2 linked regions of the Neurospora crassa OR74A genome follow. The protein of the gene in region 1 purifies or fractionates together with the protein of each later gene. This does not show direct contact. Links are inferred from orthologs where the notes say so. Each region holds a gene or a part of one and is shown in the gene's direction. Other genes may lie near its edges.

The links. The genes of interacting proteins can lie anywhere in the genome.
Region 2: the proteins of NCU07832 (region 1) and NCU03766 purify together in Saccharomyces cerevisiae (affinity purification with mass spectrometry; 4 studies listed by BioGRID). This does not show direct contact. The link is inferred for Neurospora crassa OR74A from reciprocal best matches to the Saccharomyces cerevisiae genes PRP8 and LSM5.

Annotation. Positions count from the first base shown.
Region 1 is NC_026503.1:1,009,937-1,012,839, forward strand, and holds part of NCU07832 (pre-mRNA processing splicing factor 8), read left to right. Parts: coding exon 1-2,318; intron 2,319-2,395; coding exon 2,396-2,903. UniProt on the Saccharomyces cerevisiae protein: Functions as a scaffold that mediates the ordered assembly of spliceosomal proteins and snRNAs. Required for association of BRR2 with the spliceosomal U5 snRNP, and the subsequent assembly of the U4/U6-U5 tri-snRNP complex.
Region 2 is NC_026505.1:2,344,822-2,348,168, forward strand, and holds NCU03766 (small nuclear ribonucleoprotein), read left to right. Parts: upstream 1-1,601; 5' UTR 1,602-1,715; coding exon 1,716-1,740; intron 1,741-1,818; coding exon 1,819-1,875; intron 1,876-1,955; coding exon 1,956-1,994; intron 1,995-2,073; coding exon 2,074-2,101; intron 2,102-2,168; coding exon 2,169-2,232; intron 2,233-2,289; coding exon 2,290-2,331; 3' UTR 2,332-2,526; intron 2,527-2,602; 3' UTR 2,603-2,811; downstream 2,812-3,347. Other genes in the region: NCU03765 (3'-5' exonuclease/helicase), read right to left, coding at 1-758, 836-984; NCU03767 (mitochondrial chaperone bcs1), read right to left, coding at 2,826-3,347. UniProt on the Saccharomyces cerevisiae protein: Component of LSm protein complexes, which are involved in RNA processing and may function in a chaperone-like manner. Component of the cytoplasmic LSM1-LSM7 complex which is involved in mRNA degradation by activating the decapping step.

The DNA of each region.
Region 1 (2,903 bases):
GGTTGCTCATTACAACCGGGAGCGTATTCGTCGGGGTGCCACCGTCGATAAGACCGTTGCTAAGAAGAACGTTGGCCGCCTAACGCGTCTGTGGCTCAAGGCCGAGCAAGAACGCCAGCACAACCACATGAAGGATGGTCCCTACGTCTCTTCTGAGGAGGCTGTTGCCATTTACACTACTACGGTGCACTGGCTTGAATCGAGAAAATTCTCTCCCATCCCCTTCCCCAGTGTGTCTTACAAGCATGACACCAAGATCCTTATCTTGGCGCTGGAGCGCCTACGTGAGGCTTACTCGACCAAGGGAAGATTGAACCAGAGTCAGCGTGAGGAGTTGGCCTTGATTGAGCAGGCATATGACAGTCCAGGCACTACCCTCGAGCGTATCAAACGCTTCCTACTCACTCAAAGAGCTTTCAAGGAAGTCGGCATCGATATGAACGACAACTACAGCACCATCAACCCGGTCTATGATATTGAACCGATCGAGAAGATTAGCGATGCTTATCTCGACCAGTACTTGTGGTATCAAGCTGACCAGCGCCATCTGTTCCCCGCTTGGATTAAGCCTTCCGATTCGGAGGTGCCACCTTTGCTTGTGTACAAGTGGGCTCAAGGCATTAACAACCTCGACAGGGTTTGGGAGACCGCGAATGGCGAGTGCAATGTCATGATCGAGACGCAGCTCTCCAAGGTCTACGAGAAGATTGAGCTGACCTTGCTCAACTCGCTTCTTCGGTTGATAATGGACCACAACCTTGCGGACTACATCACGGCCAAGAATAACGTTACCCTAACTTACAAGGACATGAACCATGTCAACAGCTATGGTATGATTCGTGGCCTGCAGTTCTCAGCCTTCGTTTTCCAGTACTATGGTCTCATTCTCGATTTGCTGTTGCTTGGCCCGCAGCGTGCCAGCGAGATTGCCGGTCCTCCCCACGCACCCAATGACTTCCTTCAGTTCAAGGACCGGGAGACTGAAACAAGACACCCGATTAGGTTGTACACCAGGTACATCGACAAGATCTGGGTGTTCTTGAGGTTCACCGCGGATGAATCTCGCGACCTGATCCAGCGATTCTTGACAGAGCAGCCTGATCCCAACTTCGAGAACGTGATTGGTTACAAGAGCAAGAAGTGCTGGCCCAGAGATTCGCGTATGCGTCTCATGAGGCACGACGTCAACCTCGGCAGAGCTGTGTTCTGGGATCTCAAGAACCGCCTCCCAAGATCCGTGACGACGATTGAATGGGAAGACACCTTCGCCAGCGTGTACAGCAGGGATAACCCGAACCTCCTGTTCTCCATGTGCGGCTTCGAAGTGCGCATCTTGCCCAAGATCCGCAACCAGAACGATGAGTTCCCTGTGAAAGACAGTGTCTGGTCACTAGTGGACAACACGACCAAGGAACGCACCGCTCACGCTTTCCTACAAGTTACCGAAGAGGACATTCAGAAATTCAATAACAGGATCCGTCAGATTCTCATGTCGTCTGGCTCGACCACATTCACCAAGATTGCTAACAAGTGGAACACGGCGCTGATTGCCCTCTTTACTTACTACCGCGAGGCTGCTGTTTCGACCGTGAACCTGCTTGACACGATTGTCAAGTGTGAAACCAAAATCCAGACTCGTGTCAAAATTGGTCTCAACTCCAAGATGCCTTCCCGTTTCCCTCCTGCCGTTTTCTACACTCCCAAGGAGCTTGGTGGCTTGGGTATGATTTCCGGATCACACATCCTTATCCCTACTAGCGACAAGCGCTGGTCTAAACAGACAGATCTCGGAGTTACTCATTACCGTGCGGGCATGTCGCACGATGAGGAAACGCTGATCCCCAACATCTTCCGCTACATCATCCCGTGGGAAGCTGAGTTTATCGACTCCCAGCGTGTGTGGACGGAATACTCGCAGAAGCGTCTCGAGGCCAACCAGCAGAACCGCAGATTGACCCTAGAGGATCTGGAGGACAGCTGGGATCGCGGTCTGCCCCGTATAAACACTCTTTTTCAAAAGGACCGTAGCACGTTAAGCTTCGACAAGGGTTTCCGTGCCCGTTCCGAGTTCAAGATCTATCAGTTGATGAAGAGCAATCCCTTCTGGTGGACAAGCCAGAGGCATGACGGTAAACTTTGGAACCTTAACGCATACCGTACCGATGTCATCCAGGCGCTTGGTGGTGTCGAAACCATCTTGGAGCATACCTTGTTCAAGGCAACTGGTTTCCCGTCTTGGGAAGGTCTCTTCTGGGAGAAGGCCAGTGGTTTCGAGGAGTCGATGAAGTTCAAGAAGTTGACAAATGCCCAGAGGAGCGGTAAGTTCAACATACCATTTCTCTAGCATGAATTCATCATCATATGCACGCACAAATACTGACTTTGAAATACGCAGGTCTCAACCAGATTCCTAATCGTCGTTTCACGCTTTGGTGGTCGCCTACCATCAACAGAGCCAATGTCTACGTCGGTTTCCAAGTGCAGTTGGATCTAACTGGTATCTTCTTGCACGGCAAGATTCCTACTCTCAAGATCTCCCTGATCCAGATCTTCCGAGCTCATCTGTGGCAGAAGATCCACGAGTCAGTGGTCATGGATCTTTGCCAGGTCTTCGATCAGGAGCTTGAGGCTCTAAGCATCGAATCGGTTCAAAAGGAAACCATTCATCCCAGAAAATCTTACAAGATGAACAGCTCCTGCGCGGATATCCAGCTCTTTGCCAGCCACAAATGGAACGTTACTCGCCCATCGCTCCTTTTCGATACCAAGGATGTCATCGAGTCTACTACGACGAACAAGTTTTGGATTGATGTTCAGCTTCGCTATGGTGACTACGACTCTCACGATATTGAGAGATACGTCAGGGCCAAGTATCTGGACTACACCACCGACAGCATGAGTCT
Region 2 (3,347 bases), on another chromosome or scaffold:
CGGCTTTGACAACATCGGCGTCCTCGATGATTTGCTTGAGTAACGGAGAAGCAAGCTCATCCTTCCTCGGATAGAGCGAAATGTGAAAGATTCCAATACGCTTCTCCGAAGCAATCTGGATAACCGACACGTTTTGCCTCGGGCCGTGGCTCTCCTTTGCGCTGATTTCCCATTCCAAGTCAAGACCGAGAATCTTCTCATCCATGAAGTACTGCTTCAAGACCCTCTCAGTGGTGGTCGCACTTCTGCAGTAATGGACCTTGACCTTCTCGTTCATGTTTCCATCCTTGTCGGGCCCACGATAGAGGTTGTAAGTCCAGTAAGACTTTGGAGTGCCCTCGGCCGCCTTCTTCGCCTCCTTGAAGAGATCCTCGGACATGGTGAAGCTGAGTGGTGTAAACGGAGGCTTGAGAGAAGCATCCTCATCTTTCGACTCAACGTTCCCATCCTCGAGTATGAGTTGGAACTGTTCCTCCAGCCCTTCCTGTGCATCAACAAACTCCTGCCCCTGGGAGTCTAACGTCGTTCCATTCGCGTCAGGATTTCCCTGAGGTACACCTGTGGAGTTGAAGACACCATCGTGGTTGGGCGGAAGAACAGGTTCCGGGTTTGAGGCTGCTGACACCGCAGAGTCGCTGTGATATCTTGCCAAAGATGGCAGTTGCGGGTATCCAACGCTGCCGCGACTATCGCCAGCAAACGTAATGCCCCGGCTTGAATTCCACGTCTGATCTTTCCTCTCCATGGCGCCAAGATGTCTTGATTTGTGTAAAACCCTGGTCAGCCAAAAATATACGGAGAAGTAGTAAGGACCTGGAAGAGCCAGTGAACCTACACTGGATAACGGGATGTGGAAGGAACCGAGGATGAGGGCGAAGAAGCAAAGAAACGCCGCCGGCATTGCCTCAGAGTCAAGCTGGTGGTGCTGTTTACGGCGTTGGCACCGGCGCCGATGGCTTGTGGTATAGGGTGCGGGGACCTCATTATAGCGATGGATGGCAAGCGCAGATCACAAAGTTGCCGAGTGCGTGGGAGGTATGCGTGGTAGAGGTAGGTAGGTAGTAAGTAATGTTGCAGGTTGTCAAGGCCCAGAGAACTGCGCCATGACCTGTCGATTCGTTTGAATGCTGACAGAGGGGAACGAGACGAAAAGGTGTTTGGTGGTTTCAGGGCACTGATATGAATGTTGGTTCGGTCAAAGTGGGGGAACCAAGAGAAGAAGTCGGAGACGGAGTGGACGTTGAAACTTCAAGTTGAACAAATATTGGACCGAGAAATACCTTGTCACGGGCAACGTTGGCTGCTGGCAGGCAGAAACGCGAACGTATTTGGTTGCCTCCGAATACTGAAATCACAAACGAACTGTTTGCTTTGTTCACAAGGAAGGGTCGATGTGAACTAATTGATTCGGTTGCCACTGCAACAGCAGCGCTGTCACGACGTCCAGCCGCTGCCGAGTTGCTGCTGCTGAAGCCTAGGTAGATACCCCGTTTATTCTCATATGCATGGGTACAAGCATAAGCTGCGCCAAGAACGAATCCGAGTCCACGCTGATACTGTGGGAATTACTGATCTTTTTTCACTGTACAACAGCTTAGTACGTACGCCCTGTCGCCTTGTTGGCCTCACAATCGAAGCTCAGTGAACAGCCACTGAACGTCCCTTTCGACATCCAGACTTACCTAAAGACTCGACCATTCCACACCACATACAACATGGCCTCGCAATTACTTCCTCTCGGTGAGTGAGAGAGCTCATGCTGGGCACCACTACTTAGGTATCCAAGAATAAGACAGCTAACGTGGTTTTTTTCCCCAGAGCTCATCGACAAGTGTGTTGGTTCCCGCATCTGGGTTGTCATGAAGGGAGACAAGGGCACGTTATGCCATCCTAGCTGTCCCTGCTGGATTTTGACTTATCGATGGATGTGCTGACTGATGATGGAATGAAAACAGAGTTCGCTGGCACTCTTGTTGGTTTCGATGACTACGTTAGTAAGTAGCGGGCCTCTCCTCACCATCCCCTGTCTTCATATCGTCCCACGGAGCCTTATGCTAACTCACTTTCAAATAGACATGGTTTTGGAGGACGTCACTGAGTTGTACGACGCGTCCTACTCTGGAAGTAGTTCATGAAGGACATTACTAACTTCACTCCTGCTCGATCAGCGACTACTCCGGCAACCACACCAAGTTGAAGAAGATCCTGTTGAACGGCAACAACATCTGCATGGTGGGTCATCATCGTCATCAAAGCTCGCGTTTACAAACAACTAACAGCTGTGCTCAGTTGATTCCCGGTGGTGAAGGCCCAATTGCGGCATCTGCCTGATTTGAAGGCTTGAGAGGATACATGAGGCATGGCCGCGTTAGGAAGAAGCAATCATCATCAGCATATCACGAAATACGAATGGACGTTTCTTTGCCCTCTGTCGGTCACTTCAAGAAGAAGTCAATAATAATAGGTAATTCAGACTGATTCCAAAACACCTCCAAGGAAATTGCTGCCATACACAGCTCACATGAGGTAGGTTGAACTATAATCCTCCATCATATTTCATACTGTTTGTTTGACCCGACTTGACCAAAAAAAATTATCTTAGGCTAGCACGATCAGCAGTTCCTCTTAACCTTAACCAAGCGCTTTTGGATCACCTCTTCAATTGAGAAACAAAGCAAGAAAATGGCTGCCTGTTGTTGCAACTCACCTGATCTAGGAGCACCAGCAACATTGAATATCCAAACCCACCCCACCACCCAACCAGCCGTCCTTGCTCTCTTCCACAACCCATAACTACCAAACCAACATTCAACCACCACCACACTTCAAATAGCCTTAGCATCCAAAATCTTGCTCTTACTCTCCTTCGCCTTGACCAGCTCCTCCACCCACTTGTCCACCTCCGCCAACGCCCTTCTGGGGTCCTTCTTGCGCCTCAACAGAAAGCCCTGGATCTCCGCCGGACTGAGGATCTGGGATGCCGGGATTCTCAGGGAAAACTCCCTGGCGATCTTTTGGAGTTCTTGTCTAGTTAGGGGGGTAATGTGGAGAGGGACGGGACTTTCCGTCTTTTCTTCTGCTGGTTCTTGTTGTTTCCCCTTGTCTTTGGCTGTCGCCGCGGCGGCGGCGGTGATGATGGGAACAAGAGGAGGAGCAGCGGCGTTGTCCTCTTCGCCAATGACGGTTGCGTCACTAGAGCAACTGCTGATGGAGGACTTGCGGAGGTTGTTGTCGTCGAGGAGTTTGAGATCAACGATCTTGGGGTCTATGGGGGGCTGTTGTTGTTTTTCTTCATCCTTCTCAGCGGTGGTGCCGGTGCCTGTGCCGGTGCCATCCGGGGACGCAAC